Drosophila melanogaster: one gene and its partners. The protein of the gene in region 1 purifies or fractionates together with the protein of each later gene. This does not show direct contact. Each region holds a gene or a part of one and is shown on either strand. Other genes may lie near its edges.

Region 1 (6,541 bases):
ATGGCTTAGAGCATACATATTTTTCTACCATTCATACTTGATAATGCTTAGTTATAGTCTACAATACGGAATGCAATACTTATCTTAACGACTTACACCGCCTACCATTTAGGAGATAAATTAATAAAACGACAATAGCTACATATAAATATGGGCTGTTAATTGGGAAATCTAATGAGACCGACTATCATTTTTTGTGTTCAAACGATAATGTCACTCGAGAGTCGATGCTTGATGGCCACCTGTACGACGGCCTTGTCGCCAGTGACCATCCACTCGGGATTCTCCTCGCTTAGCTTCTCCACCGTGCAGATGGGCAGTCCACAATAGATATCGGACTTAATGACGCGCAGGGCACAGACGCTGGATGGTTGAAAGCCGCGCAGGCAGTCGGAAAACTGGGTAGTGGGTTTGTTGTTGATGTCGCCGAGCAGTTTCCGGTAGTTGAGATCTCCTTTAAAGATCACCAGGGATGCCTGGCTAATGTAGACATACAGGCAAGGTTGCACCCGCTTCATCTGGCTGTAGTCGTGACCACTTGTCCAGAAGTAGCTTTTGTCGCACAGGATAAAGGAACGATCCCTGATATAGCCACGTATCCGCTTACCAAAGGCATTCAATTCCTGGAACTCGTGCTTGCGTAGAAACTTTACTAGCCAGTTAAAGTCCTTGTGCGTGCAATCCGAGATGAACCACGGTATAGCCTTCACATGGAACCGCACCCGACTGGCCAAGCCCGATTCTATGATGTACTCGCCCAGCAGCAGATCCGCAAAGAGCTCAAATCCCGCATTGTCGCACACGATGTCCACGTAGACGGGCGCACTGGCCTCGATGAGATCCTGCCAAACATCGAACGACTGATCCGCCAGCAAATCAATGTCGTATTTGGCAATCTGTTTATAGATTTTGTCATGCGCACCCCTTCTTGTGATGTTTAGGTCACCGTGATTGGACCACGTAGATAGTTTTAGGAGATACTGAAAGTCCTCCTGGCTGCGCTTAATGCCTTTGGTTGAGACTAGGATGTCCCTCATCAGTGGCGCCACATTGGTAACAATGGACGTCTTTTGATCACCGAAGTAATCATAATTTTTCAGGGTTTCGGATCGCTGGAAGATCGACCAAATGCGGCGGTACATGTAGCAATCCGCATGCAGCCAAATTGCCGAAAACCACTGCCTTCTGTCCTCTCCAAGACCCTTGAGGAACGAGTTCCAGCTGTCAGTGTCCGGCGACTTGACGCGAATTATCTGGAACTCCCTGTTGTTGATTATATCATCGCGCAGCAGCTCCAGGCTCCAGATGGTGCGCTTCAAATCGAAATGGGCATAGTCCCCGCACTGTTCAATTATATCCGCCTCACGATCCTGTAGGAATGTGATCAAATCCCTCAAAAATGCGGGCGATCTTCGCTTGAAGGTGGCAAAAGCTAGGCTGCGCAGGAATCTGGCGGAAAGTTCGTCATTCTCTCCAGGCGGATTGTATATGATCAGATTCTTCTCGTTGAATCGCTGTTCCTTCAACTGCTCAATGGCGGCAAGATTGGTGGTTTCCGTCACATCGGTGTGGCTAGTTAAGTCAGCACTATGCATTTCGCCTAAAACGTAGAATTTCGAAGCCCTCTTTGCCAGGAAAATATTTCGATTCCAAATTAATATTTTCCTAAACTTTAATAGCCCTAATAGGACAACTGACGTTCATATGAGTGAGTGTCTGTGCTTACTAAGCAATGCCAAAGGCTTTGGAGTACAACTAAATTGCTAAAGGCAATGCAAACGTTTTAAATGTGTTTAAAAACATTTTATAAAAACTAAATTAGTCATAGTTGAAGTGTTAATGATTAAATTGAGTATAATTTCGTTTTGGATCTCGCATAGGTCACTCTGAATTTCAACAATTAAGCTAAGCTTATAACGACTAAAACAATTCAACTAGTTTGCTGTTCCTTGTCCTGATTTCCTTCTTTCTCTACTTGCTGGCAAACTGTATTACGCCATACTCGCCAGTCAACATCCACTCCTTATCCTTGGCAAACAGTTGGTCCGCCACGCCTGCACCCAATCCGCAGATCAGATCCGCTTTAATTGTGCGCAGAGTGCAGAGATTGGAAGGACGAAAGCCTTAACAGGGATATAAAACGTGTAAGTACTGGAAGAATTACTGTCAAGATAGACTCACCCCTCAAGCAAGTTTCGAAGGACTCCGTGCTGTCCCAGGAGAAGTCGCCTAACAACTTGCGATAGTTGAGGTCACCCTTGAAGATAACCAGTTGCGCCTCCTTCAGGCGGTCGTAGAGTGAGGGATTTACCTCTGGCATGCGATAGAACTCGTAGGGACTCGTCCAAAAGTGTTCCAGTGGCGAAAGCTCGAACTTGCCCTCGGTCGTCAAACGCTGCCATTTTTTTCCGACCTCACTCAGCACAGGATCCGGATGGTCGGCCAGAAATTGAAGTGCCCAGTGGAAGTCGTGCTCCATCACGTCCGAAATGAACCAAGGAATGGCCTTGGGATTGAAGCGCACCTTGGCAGCCAATCCCTTGTCGATAATGTACTCAGCCAGAATGAGATCCGTGTACAGCTCATAGCCGGCGTTGTCGAAAATGATGTCCACAATGCCCTCTCCGGAGGCTCCGTCCAGGGCTTTCCATACCTCCGCGGTGCCGTCGATTAGTAGCTTCTCCTCCAAATCCGTAACTTGGTCAAAGGCATTGCCAGTGGGCTTCACCTGTTTGCCGGAGGTTATGGACAGATCGCATCGGTTGCCCCACAAATTGAGTTTGATCAACTGGCGGAAGGTGTCCGAGTTTCGTTCATTGTGCCGCGTAGCCTTGGCCACCGCCAGCATGGCGTCCACGCTCAGTTTGGTCGCCGTCTGTTTCTGCTGGCTGAAGTAGTCGTAGGCGGCCAGATGGGCTGTGGCCCGGAAAATAGATGAGATTTTGCGGTACATATAACACTCGGCGTACAGCCAGCAGACGGAAAAGTAGGTTCTCTTCTCCTTGGGCAGTTTTTCCAGGAATGCATTCCACACTTCAGAGTCGGAATCTGAAAGGCACAGATTCGTTATTCTTATCAAAGAAATTCATTTTGCGCAGGGTAAATGAAATAATAATATATAAAACGCAATCAATTATGAGTTCAATGCTATTAAAAGAAATTAAAACAGTACACTTATATGATTGCCAACCCAATGAGCACCCAAATACCTACCATTTTCACCAAAGGGCAGTAAAGGACCGTTGCTCAGGATGTCATCCCGCAGCTGTCTAACCTCCTTTGTAGTTTGTTCAATATCGGCTTCCGCTGCCTGGAATGCAATTTGATATCAAAGGTTTAAGCTCAAGGTCAAGGTAGAAGTGCACACAACTACCCACCGCGCCATATGTGGCCAGGAGGACGTCCTTGTCCTTGACTAGGGAATCCGCGATGGTGGCCAAGGTCGAAGGCAGACGCACACGGAAGGTGTAGTAGGCAAAGCTCCTGCAATAAATGACTTTTAAGTAATAATCATAATTCAATTCCACAGCTTGGATGTGTGGGTAACGATGGGTCGGCGTATTTGTTACATATGCGCGGGCCATTTAGACACCATCTATAGTAGGCGCTATATTTAGCCCTACTCACTGCTTATAGAGGGCCGCCAGCTCGGTGTGGGGCGGGGTTGGTCCGTCCACGATTCCATTCTTTGCGTCAAAATCCGTTTCGCTGCCCATTTCGAGGATCTGTTTGTTGCTCCAGCCGAATTGTACTGCTGCGGAAAGTTTATAAATTGATAAAGTGGCGCGTAGTGTGACCGCTTTGGCGGTGATGGAAAATACCGAAATTGGAACCGATAATTTACAAGGCGATACTTTTTGAATTTTCAAAATTTGTTACTTATGTTTCAAGTTTTTTATTGTTTCATAGCAAAAAAGGTACATATATGTATATATTTAAGACGTCTTTGGCTTCTAGATATGTAACGACTATTTATTACCAATAATTTAAGCTGACCAGCCTGTACAAGATTAATAGCCAAATTCACGAGCTCCGTCAACGAACTGAATGACCCCATAACTGCCCGAGACCATCCAGCGCGGATCCTTCACACTCAGCGCCTGGCCAACGCCCTCGGGCAGGCCGGAGATAACTTCGCTCTTGACCCGCCGCAGCACACAAATGTTGCTGGGAAGGAAGCCACGGAGGCAGGTGCTGAGTTCCTGGGTGGGGTCCCAGCAGACGTCCTGCAGCAGCTTGCGATAGTTGAGCTCTCCCTTGAAGACCACCAGCTTGGATAGCTGCAGGGAACTATACAAATCTGGATCCATTTGCGCCATGCTGCAATAGTCAAAGATGTAATTAGGAGGCACTGAATATGCAGTCATATCCGGAATGCGAACCTGTAAAACGAATGTGGTGATGTCCAGAAATGCGAGATTGGCGCCAGTTCGAACTTTCCCTCATCGATGAATTGTAGGAACTTCTTTCCTATCAGACTTATAATGTAGTCCGCATGCTCACTCAAGTACTCCAGCGTCCACTTGAAGTCCCGCTCCGTCACATCGGTGACAAACCAAGGGTGGGCCTTCACATGGAACCGCACCTTGTCGGCCAGTCCCTTCTCAATCATGAACTCAGCCAGTATAAAGTCGCTAAAGAGTTCGTAGCCTGCATTGTCCAGTATAAAGTCCACCTGCTTATGCTTCTTCAGTTTAGGGTTTTCCAAGCACCTCCAAATCTCCGCTGCCTGGTTAACCAGTACGCGCTCATCGGTGTTTGCCACTTTCTCCAGCACCTGGCGGTTCGATTGCTTTACTGTATCCGTGTCGGTCGCCACATCATTGCAGTTGCTCCACATGTTGATCCTCAGAAGCTCGTCGAACACCTCCACGCTGTTCTCTGATCGTCGTGTGTACTTGGTCAGGGCCAGTATATCATCAATGCTATCCGTTAGCGCCTGCTCCTTGACTTTGGCAAAGAAATCGTATGACTTCAGAAATACGCTGTTTTCCAGAAAGGAGTGGAGTTTGCGGTGCAGATAGCACTCGGCATGGAGGGAGCTGGCTTTGTAGAAGCTGCGTTCGCCATCGGGCAGGTTGCTGATAAAGTTGTTCCAAACATCTCGATCGGGTTCTAAGAAAACAAGGCTTATAATCCTCATGAGAATTCTATGAAGCTAGGAACTAACCTTCGCCAGTAAAGTTTTGAAACGATTTGTCCGTTTGCAGCTCGTACTTTAGCCTGGAGATCAATCCAATAATGATCTTTAGCTCCTCGCGGGCAGCCTGTGAAAATTCATTTGAGGCTGGAAGAAGAAAAAGTTAATGGAGATGCCAAAAAACGCTTGCAGGGATTAACCAACCGAATTGGGCTACCAGCTCGGATTTGTCCCGTGTCAGCGTATCTATCACGTTGGTCAGGATCACGGGCAGCCGACTCCGGAGTGTGAAGAAGGCAAAGCTCTGCTTGTAATGGCCCGACATAAAGGCATTGAGAGGAGTCTGCAGGTTTACGATCTGGTATTTGGCATCGAATTCCGTTCGCAACAGTCGCGATATTTTGCTGGGTTCCGAGTCCGTTTTGCCTTCGTCCTCGGGCAGTTCGCCTTCCGAGGAAGGGTCCTTCGATAAGGATTCCATCTTTTCTTTTTTTTTGTCTGTGATTTTTGTGCGTTTACTGGTGCATTTTAGCAGAATTTACCTGATTTTGACTGATTTTTCAAAGCTGCAATCTGTTTAGTGTTGCCTAACGCACGTCACACTGCGATTATGCGCAGGACTGTTTGTGAATTTGATTTGTTAAGTTTATGCGCGAGTGTGAATTTTTTCATTCTGACTTATTTTTAAAATTATAGTTTAACAGATAAAACTCCTCATGAAAAATATTCAGTTGCTTAAGAAAATGCAATTTACCACATTCTTGTTTATTTATTTTTCATTTTTATTAATATGCTAAAATTTTTCAAGAAATTATATTTAGTTGGTTGAGAATAGATGGGTTTTTTTTTCTTTTATTTAACGAAAAGGTTGAAGTATATTTCTAAAAAATTTAATGAATAATACAGGACGTTAGTGTCGTGGTTATCAATTATATGTTTAAGTTGTTTCAGCTTATGGTTTTATAAGCATCGCTATTTGAATACAAGCAATATATTGTTTTAAAATTTTAAACAATAATAGTTTTAATAAATACATATGAATGTGAAAATTAAAAGAAAAAATGCAAATACGTTGTTACGTAGTTAATAACGTAAACATATTTTTTTTTTTAGATATATGCATGTTATTAGATATTTTACATATTTTTTACATAAGTAGTATTGAAAAATCATAAGTATCGGTAATCAGCTGTCTTACGAACAGTGCTGGAAATTGGGAAAGCGTGATGGCTTTTTTATCCCCTTTTTGCTTCCGCATCTGATTCATAGCGCTGCCAACACTGCCCCTTTATTGCAGTTTTATTTGGCAAACGAACGCGACGCGAGGTCTGCAAAATGTTTAAAGCGCGAGGAACGGCCAACCAGTGAGTGCACCTCGATTGATCTGTTCGATCCGATCTG
Region 2 (7,352 bases), on another chromosome or scaffold:
AGTTCTTAAGTTATTTATTTTTGTATACTTAAGCAGCGCATATGACACCTTGTTATATTTACAAAATAATACTATTGCAAGTTCAGCAGACATGCCACGCCCATAGAGCTATGTATTTCCCGCATTGCCACCACACCAGAACAAACCAAACCACACCCAAATCCAAGCACATATATCATACATCTCCTGATCCTCAACCGAGACACTCAGAACCACACTGACACCTACCTAGCTTAGAATAGCGATATGGTTTAGTTTTTGTTCTTAGACCACCCAAAAACGTTGTATTATTTAATCCTATGGAATGTGCCCCCCAACAGACCACTGTACATACCCTTAGCTATACATTTACATTTCCGGGGGCAATTTTCTCCTGATTTCATGCGATCACCTTCTTTGGCACTGCCATCAAAATCGCCCTAACACTTTTACGTTCGATGTAATTTCGAAAGAACTTTTGAGTTGTTTCCCTTTTGTTGCTTTGGCATTAGTTAGTTTACAAACTGATTTTGTACTACAGCAAGCAACAAACAAACAACGCTAAACTAAAATGCTTACGCACATTGTTATCACTAGAAAAACAACAACAACAACAACAAAAGAACAACAAGAACATAAACACAAGAAGAAAAACCTGTCTGTTAAAAAAACAAAAATGAGAATATGTAATATGAATAACGAGAAGTACATGCATACATATATAAATATATATATATATAATCAATTTGTAATTGTACCGAAATTGATAACTGTAAAGTAACAAGAAGTTTATAAAATTGCATATGATTTAAACTATAAACTAACTAAGAAATACAATATCCCTCTATGCAGCAAGCGAAAGCAAAACCAACAGCAGTTATACATAATTGAATGTGTAATATGATGGCAAAAATATAAATAAAAATATTATAATAAAACAAAACGAAAAAAAAAATACAAACACTGAGAAACAACCAAAAAAAAAAACAAAAAGCGTAATTCATTTCCTCTCTATGCTATGATAGTTAAGCCTGAACCATTGAACAATTAAACAATTTGTACGTAAAACTAGACGATGAATGACTAGGCGATGATGATGTTGCGAGGACGTAACGACTTAATAGCGAAAAGTTTAAATAAAATTTATACTTGCGAGTTGAAAAAACATATATGCGGCCGGAACTTTTCATGACCAATGCTCCCACTCTGGCCACTTTTAGTCTTGATTCCACTGTATGCCTCATATAATTATAAACCCCAGTAAATAAAAAGCGGACAACAACAGCGAGCGTTCGTTTTGTAGATAACCGAGGAAAACAATAAAGCGATAACCACCATCCACGGGGGCCATTTACTCCAGTCCAACTTAATGCCCAACCGGAGCCAAAGCTGTTCCTGATAGCCGTCTTGGATCCACCAAAAAGTATTGCAACGCGTGGCAAACAGGATGGTAGAATCAGTCTCAAAAAGTGCATCTTACTTTCATGGATTCTACATCGAACAAAATGACTAATAATATTTATCGCTTATACTTTAGTTCCCCCTTAATATACAAAAAAAAAATTCCACTTTCTTGGGCACTACAAAACATTTTGTTCATTTTAATTTTGAAACTTCTTCGCACTCATTTCTAAAAGATCAGTTCCAAACAACTTTCACAAGTATGCTTAGGTACATAAATACTAAACGAGTAATACAATTCTTTTTTATCCATTTTGCTCGGGCATCACAAAGCATAGTAAATCATACATTAAATAGTTAGACAAGGCATATACACGCATCGTGGGGTTACAGTTAAAACAATTATTAATAATCGGAGCAAATATTTTGGTAAGGACTGTGTGGCGTACTGTGTGTATATAAAACTTAACCAAGAACACTTGCGCTGTTAAGTATAAAGAGTTGACCTAAGCGCTATTTCTGTAACCCTAATTAATCGTATATATAGTGGCTTTCGATCGCTGCCATCTTGTTTAGATGCGACGCCATCTTCACCTCGTCGTCCATGGGACCGGAATTGGATTGCTTCTGGCAGGGTTTGGTTTGCGTTTCCGTTTCGGTATCGGTTTCCGCCTCCGCTTCGTCCTTTGCGACTTCATCCTTCGTCGCGTCGCCGGCTTCCTCTTGATCATTGTTAGTCGCCTGGCTGCCATTTCGGCAGCGGGCTATCAGATCGCTGTAGGGACGGCCGTGCAGCAGGCACACCAGCACCACGGTCATATTGTCGCCGCCGAGGCCTCCCATTTGGCAGTCGGGTGCTAGGCAGTGATTCATCAGCTCTTCGCAGATCTCCTCCGGAAACATGCCCATGCCGATGCGCGTGCGACAGAACTCGAGCACTTCCGCGTTGCTCATTACATCCCAAATGCCATCGCAGGCCAGCACGATGAATTCCCAATCGTCCATGATTTTCCGCGTCTCCACGTCCGGGAAGGCTATATAGGCGCACGGAGAACAAGAAACAAGGTGATAATGCTTAACAAGAACAATGGATGGAGATGGTGATTCTCACCTGTGACGATTTGATCTTCCGGTTTTTTGTTCTCATGCTTGAATACATAGTCACCGAGGGCGCGGGAAAGCGCAAGATTGCCGTTGACGCGATTGAACTCAACCCAGCCGCCGCCTTGGATGATCCGCTTGGACTCCGCCTCGTTATTGGGCTTGTGGTCCAGCGACAGGACCTCCAGTTGTCCGTTCACGCAGGCAATGGCGCGCGAGTCGCCTGCGTTGGCGCAATAAAGCTTGTTGTCCTTTACCAAAACAACTACGGCAGTCGAGCCGGCCATCTGGTCACCACATGTCTTGTTGCGTAGCATAACGTAGTCGATGTCCAGAAAGCCCTGCAATTGCATCATATATGAGTCATGAATTAAATAGAATGGCTTGAAGAGCTTTACATGTTCTCAAAACTAGTGAATTTAAATGGCATTACATTTTAGATATCTTTATAAGTTAATCTGTTGTTTATATGTATCTTCAAAAAGTATATGACTTTAATAAACGTGAGACATATAAAGATAAATGTATAGAGGTTTTAACAAGTTGTTTTCATCCCATTACTTATCATTCTTAACAAATCTTTGTGCTGCAGATGAGTAACAATTTGTTGAAATGAGTCGCTTGAATAGAATAGAATAGGTACGTATTGTACATACATACATATATGTGTAATATGTAAAACTTTGGTTTTAAGAAGTGGGTACTACCCTCATATATCCAAGTATCCAATTATCATTTATTTAAGGACATCATCGATACCGTGCATATCCGAAAGAAGACTGCATGTGAGGAGTACATATACATAGGTACTCCAACTGCCTTCAGCGATCTATAAATGTCGCCATTCCCGCCATCTAAAAGTGACTCTGCCGTGACTCACCTGCTGCAGCGCCTGTTCGATGTTGTCGTTGTACTCCGGCCGCTTGAGAACGTACTTGTGCAGGTGCTTGCCGGCGTACTGGGCCACCGTGGCGCCTCCGTGCCCGTCGTAGACGGCGAAGAATGCCGCTCCCGGATCGTCCGGCAGCGAGAGGATGTGGGTGTGCGAGTCCTCCATGTTGATGCGCCACCCCTGCATGCAGGAGCTGCCCACGCGGTAGGCGGCGTTCTGGCAGTACGCTGACTCCTTGGCGGTCACCGGTTCCGATAGAGTCTGACCCATTGCGGCTTGTATGGTGTGCGGTGTGGAGTGTGTTGTGTGGGCTGACTTCTTTGCGGGCGGGGTTAGTGCTATCGATTTACGTCGCTTTTCTGCGGGAAAGAAGACGTACAAGCACACGGGTTAAGTTAATTACGAAACTGACTGCTGCGGAGCGCGGAACGACCGACGGCCGACTGTCAACTTCAGATACGCGTGGGCTCCGGAGATTAGTATATCAGAGGCATAAGCAAACAGACGTGGAGATTTCAGGGCCGGATCGCGATCCGGAATTGGATTCAGCTTGGGTTCAAAGGGCAGGTGATAAATGAGCGTCGATAAGCCGGATATTACGGCTGACGATCAACGTACTTCCTTCGCGTGCTCCCTAATATGTTCACAGTTTGCAGCTTATTTAAACTTATGCAAAACCAGAAAATAAGAACGGAAAACCAGAACAGCAACGGAAAACACGCAAAAAAAACGGAGAGAAGTGGAGAGAAGATAGAAGAGGAGGAGCGGCGCCAAATTAACGATGCGCTGATTACACACCTGGCGTTCACCGTTTTTGCTCCACCCTGCAAAGCGAGTACGCATCAAAGAAAAACTGTTTGGTAAAAAATTATTAAAAACTGCGCGTGTTTATTTTTTTATTGAATTTGTGTTTTGAAGTGTGAACGTGTCTGAAAAATGGTAAATTCCTAACTGCTGTTTACAAACGCATGGTAGTTGACCACACTAATGCCGGTACTGTTCAACACTGGCAGAGTGGCGCCCTGCTTGTGAGTGCGTCTCGACTAGCTTGGCAGCACTGGCGAAAAGCTTTTTGGTTTTGGCGCCTTGATTTGAATTTAAAAAGTTTAAAATCCAAAAAAATATTATTTATGCACCTTAATTGTACAAATAATGAGTGATGTTCTTTTGCCTTTCCATTGAAATTCACATTTCGAATGAATTCTGCAATTCCAATGCAAATTTCACATTATGCGGCTACTCTTTTCCGCTTCTCATTTCGCCTTTTCGTCGTCTTATCTGCTCTTTTATTTTTTTTGTTTAGCTGGCGAGTGCATTGAATTTTGCGAATTTCGCTTTGGGCTTGCGGCAAATATACGAATTCAAGGACAAATGACGTCAGCTAAGCACTTTTTGCGGTTGCCGCTGCTGCTGTTTTGTTGTTGCTCCCATATTGTTGTTGCTTGGGGAATTAAAGCTTGACTGGCATTCGCCGCTGCCAACGCCTCTGCTTTCTATTTATTGTCTTCTTCGTCTTCGTCTCTTTTTTTGGGTTCTTTTGTTTTGCGCTTTTGGCGAGCGCAAAAAATGTATTAAATATTTGCACAGCAGCAGCAAAAGCAAAAGCCACAGAGCAATTTTTGATAAAGAACTAGTGGATGTATTTCAGAGGTCCCTCTCCATTTCCATTTTATTCGCATTATCTTTGGCGCTCTGAAATTGTTTCGGCAAACAAAGTCAATCAGAACTTTGTTGTCGAACCTACATATGTACATACGAATTGGTATCACCCGCCTTTATGCATTTATAAGTAGTACAAATTTGGAACTCAAACAAAGATTAGATAGGAACGAACATACACTTCCATACAACAACAACTATTCTTAAATTATTCGAATTTTGAGGAATAATGTTCGACACTTTATCTAGCTTGGCTTGCTAGAAATCGTTTTTAAATGTGATAATGCACTTAATTTGGCTCAGTGTATTATATCTCTGCCTTTCTTATCGTTCTGTTTGGTCATTGAAAGTGCAAGGCGTCAACGTCGCTGCACGCATTTTATTTCCCAACCTCTAGAACGCACATTTATTATGCATTTAACGTTCCCCGCTGACGACTGCAACTATCGACCCCGCTGCCACCGCCCCCCCCCCTCGCCAACACTCGCCTCTTGCCATTTAAGATTCGCTTTCGCTTCCCCTTTTATTTTAGCGCACTCAGTAAAATTTCCATATTGTTTGTCAACCGCGGATTGCATCCAGGCTCGGTTTCGGTCCCTGAATCGCTCTCCAAATCGGAATCGGAGTTGGAGGCGATCAACAGCTCCATATGCAGTCTGCATGCAAATGCTGCACTTCGGATCGCAGCAACACTGAGCAAAATAATATTAATATAATATATAAAAATTTATTTCATTTATATTATTATTATTTTATTTATAAATTTAAGTTCTTCTTACTTCAAGTGGTAAATATTTTAATCTGGCTTAGTAAATGCCAGTAGATTAAGAATATTAAGTATACGCTTAGGTGGCAACCAAACTAAATGTATCTTTTCTATATATTTCTTCAAAGTCGGGCCTATGGCCACATTATTTTTCCAAGTGTATGTCCCGCTGACGGAAAGGGACTGCGACGGGGGCCGGACAGACCAGGGCCCACAGATATCGTCGTCAGGCAGTTCAATCACATTGCACAAAAGTTCGAGGTCAGTTATAAAAATAAAATTAAATGCCCTCGCTGGTCGCGCGCCCCTTCCCCCCCCTCGCCATCACCGCTCAACAGTGAGCTCTTGGATGGGATTGGAATTGGAATTGGATTGGGTTTTGTTTTACATTAATTTCTGTTTGAATGCGACAAAATGGGTTTCTTTGTCTTTGGCTAGCTGGCTGGCTGGCTGAGCAGGATCGGGATAATGGGGTTGCTGCACGCAGCTCCTGCTCCTGCTCCTGTTTTCTGGGACTGGGCACAAAGGGTATTGTTCGGGGACATTGCGGGTCACTCGAGTGGAAGTAGGCCACTGGAGTTCTGTGTAACTTGAGCACCGTCCGATCGGGATCGCCGATGCAATTGTGTAATGTGAGCCGCGGCAGGGCAATGACTCCTTTCCCAAGGATAATGAAGGAACTTGGTCGCAGGGCAGGAAATCAATCCGTTGCCATCTGCCAACATACTTAGATCAATATGAAGCTTCAATTACTATCAAAGTATTGAGCATTTTTAGTTTTTGGTGACCGCAATCTAGTATGTTTATTAAGCTATGGAAAATGGTGACCCAGACGCTACGTTTGAGAACTGCGATTTCTGCGAAACCTAACGATAAGATACATTTCCACAGATGCATAATAAATACGGCATCCAAAAGGGCAAACTTCCCAAAGAATCGATGTTCATTGATGTACAGGAGGACGTGCGCTACTCTCTTCTAAGCTCGGCTAACAAATATATTTTGTTTTTGGCCAACAGACGGGCCCAGACAGTCGCTGACCGGTGGAATGCTGTTGAACTTAATTTCGGCTGGCCGTACCGCAATGAAATGAAATTTCGATAATTTCCAGGGAATTCATGCCACAGATTTCGGCGCGGCGCGACGTTCGCGGCCATGGCCGATCCTCAAAGCAGACCAAAGCCGAAAAACCAGGGCCAAACTAGTTGGACGGGCTGCCCTCCACTCCGCAGTCGAGTGTCCCAAGGATCCCAGACGCAGGTTCATTAACTTGTTTGCCCCGCCGCGCGGAGGCTGCCTCACTTTTTTATTTTGGGGCCGCCGACGTCTTGCTCTTCAGCAACCACCATCCACCGTCCAGATATTCGAGATTCGAGCATCCAGTATCCAGCATCCGCGACGAGACAATAATGATCTTCGCTGGAAACGCGAGCCCCTTCACCGCCAAAGTCCCCCATTCCCCCTGCAAAAAGATCCTGCTCGCCGGTGGTGATGATGGTGACTTAATTGCCGCACCCAAATGGCTGAGCTGGACTAGGGATTAGCACGAAAAGT
Region 3 (8,430 bases), on another chromosome or scaffold:
ATTTAATGCAACTCAAACTCTACTCCGTAGACCCGGACGTTTTTGCGACGATTACCCTGTCAAGTTTGCCATATCCTGCATTGCACAGACCACTGCGCACCCGCACACTCTAACCTGCGGCAACTGGCATGGCTACATCCAGCACTTTGACTTGCGGTGTAGCCACAAGCAGGGTCCTCTCTTCACGCTGGGAGGGCACAAGGGCGGCATCACACAACTGCGCTATGGAGAGTTTGGCAACGGGGAGTGGCATCTGTTCAGTGGAGCTCGCAAGTGCGATAAGATCTTGCAGTGGGACATGCGCAACTACAAGCAGCCACTGGTGGAGTTGCAGCGCCATGTGGACACCAATCAGCGTATTCAATTCGACCTCGCATCCGACAGCAATTGGCTGGCTAGCGGTGACACACGGGGATTCGTCAATGTTTGGGATCTCAAAAAATACGGAGATCCTTCCGTACTGCCCCTGCATTCAGACTGCTGCAACGGAGTGGCACTCAATCCGGCTATGCCGATTCTAGCCACCAGCTCGGGGCAGTTCCACTTTACAGACCAAAGTGCCCAAGGGGACAACGTGACCTTAAACGGAACGGAAACGACGGAGTTGCCGGCGCCGGCCGATGTGAATCAAAATCAGAAGGAAGTTCTCTACGAGAACGCAGTGGTCATGTGGTGGTGCGGCCAAACGGGATAGCATATAAAACTGGTGTAGTCGAGTAAATAATACAAAATCCGTCTTTATTCTTGAATCCATTTGGAAATACTAAAGCATCATGACCGGGTCCATACTGGTTGCCTTCACCTGCAAAGGATTTGCGAGAGTAAGTTGGCGTCGACTCAATGGCGATGGCTGTTAGGTGGAACACTTACCTAGAACCGTTTGAGGAACTCCTCGGCGCAGGTGCGTGCCCTGGCATTGACCGCCAGTTTCATTTCGCTGATCTCCTTGTCGATCTCCTCCATGAAGCTAATGACAAAGTCCACCAGTTTGTGCTTATACATCTGCTCCGTGTGGAAGTTGGTGATGAGGAAGCTTATGTCGTAGCCCTCGATGGGCTTGCGGCGCAGTATGACGAACGACTCGGCGCGTCGCATCATGAACCTGGTGAACTTGTGGCACAGTATGCGCTCAATCTCGTCGGCCTGCTTCACGGCGATGCTCACGCGCACCGAGTTAATGGACGGCTCGATCAGCACCTTCTCCCGCTCGTTGCGCGACACGACGACGGGCGTGAGCACCAGCTCCTTGCTGGAACAGATCTCCACCTCCGGCTTGTTGTGCCGCTCCACCACCTGCGAGGGGAAGTCCTGCAGGCACATCGCCGCCGTCAGCGAGTGTCGCACGGCGGTCAGGTAGGGCTTCAATGTGGCTGCCATTGTGTCTGGGTGTCGGGTTGTTGTCTGCTGCCTGCGGTTTGTTGTATCTGCACTTTTTACTTAACTTATTATGATTCACAGGCCCTGGAATTTATCAACCAGAAAAGATGTGACCATGCGCGGCTGGCAGGAAAATACCAATGCCGAGGTGGGGCCGCAAAAACATAGCAACTATTTGGAATTTGTTATGAAACAGTTTCTATTATATGTTTGGGAAGACTATGCATAAAGTTTATACAATCAATATTAAACATGTTGTTTTTAAACATTTATCAAATCGCACTTAAAACATTTCTTATGATGTCCTGTGTTAAGATGGTAAGAAACTTGACTATCAAGAACTTACCCGAGACCACAACCACTGTTCCATTTCCATTTGTATCTTATCTTTGTGGAATTTTTAGGAGTGAAACAATTTAAATCATACCTAAATTTTAAAAATTTAAGAAAAATGTATATGGCTAGAAGCGTTAAAATTTGAAATGGAAATATCAAATATATGTGTACCATATTAAAGTCCGAAAACCCAACACACCAGCAAAGAGGAAAAATGTTAATTTAGAAGAAAACAGCATCCACCAATTATAAATATTGCATTTATTTGTTTAATGCACTTTTATTATACAATTGTTATAAGTATTTTTGCTCGCATATGGTCAGTTATTTGTGGCTTATATGAACTTAAATTATGCGTGAACCTAGAAAGTGAGTATTTTAATCAATCGTTCAAAATTGTAACCCTTTCCTACTCTCAATACTCAAAAAATGTTTCGGCTGATTATTGCATTGGATTAGACATTAATATATCATAAATTGAGTAAATATCAAAGCATTTTATGCTTTGCGTTTATATTTTGTTCGTTTTTTCTTGAGTATGCTTGAAAGTTTTCGTGTCTGGGTAATTTGGTGTCCTGTGCGTGTTAAATTGTTTTGCCAATGCACATTTTTATTAAGAGATTTATGTTATTGATATTCATTTGTAGAAGCCATAGGTTTACACGAGTACACATACATATATAACGATATAAGATTTAAATTTAAGCTAATCTTTAAAGCGCCCTTTGGTGCAAAATTAAAAATAACTCGCAGGTTTTTGGAAAAAATTTTCCTAAATATTCCATTTGGTTTGCCCTAAATACTTTTTTTTTTTTTTATTATAACCCCCACATTCACTCTCCTCTTAAACCCATTTCTAAAAATAACCCGACGTTAGACAAAATATGCATTTCCATATAATATTACACACATTAATGTATGCTTATACGTAGTTTCCTTCCATTTATATTAATGTCTATATCAGCGTTTTTAGTGTTTGTGTTGTATGTAAATAAAGGAAAAATGCGTTTCGTGTGTTTTACATGGTATTTGATTTTATTGAATTGTATAAGCATTTCTTATGTATTTTTTCTGTTAGACATTTATTTTATAGATAGAAAATGCGAAACTTATAAGAACAAATTATTTGTTAGTGTAAAACTATATTCAGCATGTATATGTATCATGTTGTTGCAAGTTAGTAAATTAAAATTACCACTAAAGTATACATTAACTTAATTAAAAACATTTTCAAATTTTTACTCGCGAAAGCCATTCATAGATGCAAATACAGCGTGCTTATTATTTTGAGAATACCTCAGTCGATGCCACAGTAATTAAAAAAAAAAAAAAACTTGAACATTCAAGACTAAGACTTTGAAAATAATGAATCCAAAACGAATATAACATTCTTGGAACTCAAGGTAAAAAGTGTTTTAAACTTTCAACTGAAATCAACGTGAACTTTTAAAAGAATTTGAAATTTTAAATGACAGGCATGCATTCAACTTGCATAGGCTTTTCTGCCTGGGCTTTTAAGTTTAAATGTAGATTTCCTTTACTAATTTTTTTTTTGCATTAACTTGCCGTAAGCATTCATTTCTTTTCGCTTTATAGTAGCTTATTCGTGTTTCATTATAGAGCTCGTGAGAAAACTCGCTCAGCGGTATCTTGAGACTTTGCCCTTGCCCTTCGCTTCGTTTGCTTTCATAATACTTGGAAATTTTGAGAAATCGTTTTCAGTTTTAAGGGTTTTCTTGCTTAAATATGTGTTGGTGTATTATGCAGTGTTGCTGTTCTTTTTGTAGTCGCCTTGTAACCATGTTTGCAGTGGGTGAGCACAGCTCTCGATGCAGGATCGTTCTCCACTTAGCCTGAGGAGGCAATGGCGCTCTGCTGACCATCCAAATCCTGGGCCTGGGCCTTGTTCTGGCGCACGAGCTCAGCGCGACGTTCCTGAAAGAAAGGAAAGCAATCAAGGATTAATATTCGTTTGCGAATGGAGATGTGCAACTACTGCCAAGTGCTACTCAAACAATAGGGCAAATTGTCGCTTTCAGTGGGGGGGAACAACACGTACGAGTTTTTGAACTTTTTCAATTTTTTTTTGCAATTCCTTTTCGCGTTTCTGCTCGGCGGCGAACAATTTGTTCTCATAAATGCGCGCTTTCTCCTCGATCTTTTGACATTCCAATTGATCGTTCTGCGATTTGATTTCGGCAATTTTGATTGTGTTCTAAATGAGAGGATATAAGAGAAATGAAAAACCAAAATTATATGAACGCATGATAACTTATTTATAGTTCGTACACTCAATGACTAACTAAATGTTAACCAGTTTGCTAGTCCAGTCAAAATGATGTGTCATTTCAATTTTATATTCCAGCAATGAATGTAAGTTAATGTAATGTTTATAAAGTAATTGTTGAGACTTATGGGATCTTGGGTATTGAATATTATAATTACATACATCTAATCATAAACTAGATTTAATGAAAACTTTTGGCCATGCTATAGACTCACATGCTCCTTTAGGCGATCCAACATTTTCTTGATATTCTCATCGCGAAGAGACTGAGCAATCTTCAACTTTTCCTCGATTGCCTTCTGCTCGTTGGCCTTCTGCTGCTCAAGAGTCTCACGCGTCTTTTCGATATCCTGGGCATGGATCTTTCGTTAAACGGAAGAAAATACTTGGTTAGTTGGGAATATACTATGGGATGCAATAGGTTTGGTAGCCTACCTTTAGCTTCTCCTTCATGTCACTGATGATGGCCTCTCGCTTCTCCACATGCAGCTCCATTTTCGACTCCAGCTGCTCCTTGGTCTGAGTAATAAACTCATTGGTGATCTCATCCTTTTTGCGAGTCGCCTCCTCGACTTTAGCCAGCTTAGTGGAGATGTCAGCCATCTTCTTGGCTTCTAGAGACTGGGGAAACAAGATTTCACTTGCTTTACAACAACTTTAATTCTTTAATTTATGTACTTACAATGCGACGTTCCTCGGCCGCCTTAAGTTTCTGCTCAATCTCCTCGACGCTAACGTTCTTGCCAGGGGTGACCGGTCGTTTTGGAACGGCCACATTGGGTGCCGGTTCGGCCAGGATGACCTCATAGCTCAATCCCCCGCGGGACTTCTCCTGGCAGCGAATCTCTGTGGCTGTGGAGGAGGAAGGAAAGCAAAGGGAGACTTATAGTAATTCAATATTTTTGCACTTGGGGTGCATCGAATAGTTGCGGTTAAGGGTGAACCTCGTGGTTCAACCCTCGACTTGGCTTTCCCCCCATCAAAACAACATGACGTCATTTTTACACTTCCACCCCCTTAAAAACTAAACTTAAATGTTGTTCTTTTGGCCAATAAGTTAAACAATACGAATTTAGTGTTACATCGAAATATAATCACCTAAAATCGATATCTTGACATTCTCATTATCTAACTTGTAGACAAATCCATCAAATGGAATGCTGGACAACCAACGAAGCGAAAAATGATTTGTCAAAACAAAAATATGTATATGTATACAATCATTGAACAAGAGGGATAACGATACTTGAAGATGTTGCCACGACAGCCGACAGTGGACACCTTTTATATGTATCCATAACCATATTTTGACACATAATTTGCTATTATTATGGAGTGTCAATGGTGACAAAAGCTTTTAGGCAATCACAATGAGTGTGCATAGATTGTTTACCCAAAATGTTGCCATATCTCACCAATTCTGTTCTCCAAATCTTCCTGCCTCATCCTTTCCAGCATGACCGTCAACGCTGACGCATCCGCGGGATTCGAGTGCATCTCGGACAAGTGCAACTGCAACTCCTCGGCGCTAAATCTCTTCTTACAAAAAACGCAATTGTAGCTTTTTGAAGCATCGCCGTTTAGCAGCTTCTCGCCGCTGAAGAATTTGTCAAGAAAGGACCGATGGTAGATAATCTTAATGCGGCGGTCGTCCTTGTGCGTCTCAGTGTGCTGATTTCGGCCCTCATCAAAACACTGGCCGCAGTACATTACCTCAGATCCGCACTCACTGCAACCGTACCGTCGGTCAAAGTCAGCGCGAATTTGCCCGCAACCCTTACATTTGGTCGGTAAAGCAGAGAAATTGCAACCCATTTTAAATGATATGATCAAATGACTGATCGAAGTTCAATTTGGCGTCGTTACTGGGTTTATCGAAAAATGTTTAATGCTTTATTTATATTTTGTTCTCAGATGTCGGAGAAATGTTTTGCAATAACAAATAGAGACAACTGTAGACCGGAATAAAATGGAAAAGCGCTGCCTACTAGATGTGCAAATAAGATTTTGTAAATCATCTTCCACTAGCCAGAGAAATATCCGAGAAAAGCTTCCTATGAAATGGAAAAACCTGAGGAAACATCCAGATCGTTTGGTCATTTTCTTTTAGAAATGTTTATTTCAAAATACTACATATGCATATGTAATTATGAAAATACCGAGGCTTATTTCCTACAAATGCTGGGTGCCCCGCCTATTCGTCCTGGATGACCATATCTATGAAGTCGGTGATTTGAGAAATGGCTGACTCAGAGAAATCGGAATCCGAAGCTCCATCGTCCTCATCACCGTTTTCTTCCTCGCCGCTTTCCTTGTCCTCCTCCAATCCGGCTAAATCATCGCTGTTTCCTTCGCCATGCAAATCGCTGGCCATTTCTTCTGATGCATTACTTTCCAAATCATCCGATCCGGAATCCGCATATGGGATATCGCCCAAAACTGTGAAATAAGCCGAGCTGGTGGAAGCGGATGGGAGTTCAGTTGCCTTGCTTTCGGCAGTTGGTTCGGTCTGATAACCAATCCAAGTTTTGTACTCGGCGAGACCCCTGTAGAAGCGTTCCATCAATTCCTTGGTCTTAACAGGATACAGCAATAGTTTCCCATTTGATTTTACACTGCCTGATGGCTCGACTGCGTCCAACATGAAATTCGCAGTCCAGGGCAGTCCAATTGGCGGCTGGAACAGCTCTTCGTCTGCCAACATCGAACAGAACATTGCCTCGGTAAAGGTAGCTTTGAGCAATTTGCTTTCCCACTTTTGGCCATTTCCGCTCACCAATTTCGAGCACAAAAAGCGCTTATCCTTGAGTGGGGAAGTAATGACAGTTGACACCTTCTTGGTGGGCTGATCTCCTTGCGTCTTCGTTTGTGCCTTGGCTACCCCAGAGCTGGACCCCGCTTTTCCGCTCCTAGAAGACGAAGCCACCGCCGATTGAAGGGCTATCCCGATAGGCTCTCCAGTACGCCTAGCCGTCTGCCTGCGCACCATTGTTGTCGGCTGGTCAACCAAAACGGGCATGGCAGCACGCATACCCATAGCTAACGCTGTATTAGTACCAGGAGAGATTGCCTCAATGCGGGTCAGCCGATGTAGTGAGGATGATGAGGCGCCCAGACGCTGACGACGATCGGCCATGCTAGTCACAACCTGATCTTCGATGACGCGCACAAAAGACTCAATCGCCTCCATGTCCGGCACTCTGGAACTTCTGTGCTGCATAAGCACAGTTTCAGTCTGCTGCAGTATCTCATAGCAGCGTTCAGGAAAGTCGGCGGCAGTTGAATCCATATTGTCCAGCTGCACAACCATTAGGGCCAGGCTTAATGCGGAATCAAATACCTGCTCGGTCCGCTGTTCGCTTCGCGTGTTGCCACCGGCTACCGGTCGAACGCTTGCTAAATTGCGAGAACGAGTCGAGCGCGTTTGGCTAGAAGGTTGCGGTACTGGCACCTGTTGCTCCATTCCGTTGTCCGCTATATAGAGAGTATTGACCAACGACAAGTAGGCATCGTGGTCACGGTGGTCGCGATGCTCCTGCAGCAGGTGCATGAACAAATGGGCGGTAGAAAGGCCGCGAACATCGCACAGGGCACATTTGTAGCTCTGGGCCACTTTGTGATCACCGCAGAATGGCTCGCCGCCGAAGTACAGCTGGTACTCGGCATAGGCATAGTACACACTCATCGGATGGTAGTAGCGATGCTGAGGCGATGCCGGCAGATGGTTGGCATCGAAGCACTTGCCGCACAAAGTGTATTCCGCGCAGAACCTGCAGGTGTAGCGGCGGCCCTGGAAATCGGATATCTTGCAGTTCTCGCAGCGGTGGCCAAAGTGGCGCTCCGGCGGATTGCGCATCTGGTGGGCCATGGGTGCTTGAAGTGATTCTGGCAATGGAATTCGTGCACGGATGATATTATATACGAATTGTGCGCAGAGAATCGTCGTTGGTGAAGACTCAAAAGTTTGCTGAATTTTGTTTATGATATTAGAGAACCCTATTTAAAATTGAAATGTGAGCGGCCTCGCCAGTGTTTTTTATTCGTTTCAACAACTTACTCTTTTCACAACTTTTCACTTTCAACTGATGAACACCTTTACTCGACAAGAAAAATTATTTGACTAAACTTCTATTGAATATCGAACAAAAAAGTGAGACTGAAAGCTAAACTCCAAAAGGCGCTGCCAACTCGATTCTATCAACAATTGTGAAAATCCCGAAAAAATAGGAGCACGTGCACGACGAGAAGTTTCTATGACGGAGTATATTTCTGTGGCCTTATAAATTACTTACAATTACAATGTACAATTAAGTAGCTATAGAAACAACATGTTTTTGCATAATTTGTAATCTTATGATATCAACGCATAACCCGCCATAATAGATAGCATATACTTCATATACAATAGCTTCGATGAGTTATTTCGTTTA

The links.
Region 2: the proteins of CG11474 (region 1) and CG17746 purify together in Drosophila melanogaster (affinity purification with mass spectrometry, with the first as the bait; one large-scale study listed by BioGRID). This does not show direct contact.
Region 3: the proteins of CG11474 (region 1) and stai purify together in Drosophila melanogaster (affinity purification with mass spectrometry, with the first as the bait; one large-scale study listed by BioGRID). This does not show direct contact.

Annotation. Positions count from the first base shown.
Region 1 is NT_033778.4:22,069,585-22,076,125, forward strand, and holds CG11474 (uncharacterized protein), read right to left. Parts: upstream 3,860-6,541; 5' UTR 3,717-3,859; coding exon 3,628-3,716; intron 3,484-3,627; coding exon 3,378-3,483; intron 3,311-3,377; coding exon 3,214-3,310; intron 3,049-3,213; coding exon 2,182-3,048; intron 2,124-2,181; coding exon 1,972-2,123; 3' UTR 1,650-1,971; downstream 1-1,649. Other genes in the region: CG11475 (uncharacterized protein), read right to left, coding at 201-1,595; CG2921 (uncharacterized protein), read right to left, coding at 4,011-4,320, 4,383-5,115, 5,171-5,287, 5,345-5,621.
Region 2 is NT_037436.4:3,235,251-3,242,602, forward strand, and holds CG17746 (uncharacterized protein), read right to left. Parts: upstream 4,329-7,352; 5' UTR 4,172-4,328; intron 4,124-4,171; exon of another isoform or gene 3,992-4,123; intron 3,733-3,991; 5' UTR 3,644-3,732; coding exon 3,362-3,643; intron 2,823-3,361; coding exon 2,492-2,822; intron 2,415-2,491; coding exon 1,912-2,414; 3' UTR 1,697-1,911; downstream 1-1,696.
Region 3 is NT_033779.5:6,118,196-6,126,625, reverse strand, and holds stai (stathmin), read right to left. Parts: upstream 5,953-8,430; 5' UTR 5,816-5,952; coding exon 5,416-5,815; intron 4,853-5,415; coding exon 4,683-4,852; intron 4,622-4,682; coding exon 4,436-4,621; intron 4,363-4,435; coding exon 4,216-4,362; intron 3,929-4,215; coding exon 3,773-3,928; intron 3,649-3,772; coding exon 3,562-3,648; 3' UTR 1,973-3,561; downstream 1-1,972. Other genes in the region: WDR79 (WD repeat domain 79), read left to right, coding at 31-694; Arpc4 (Actin-related protein 2/3 complex, subunit 4), read right to left, coding at 871-1,377; CG31642 (uncharacterized protein), read right to left, coding at 6,195-7,868.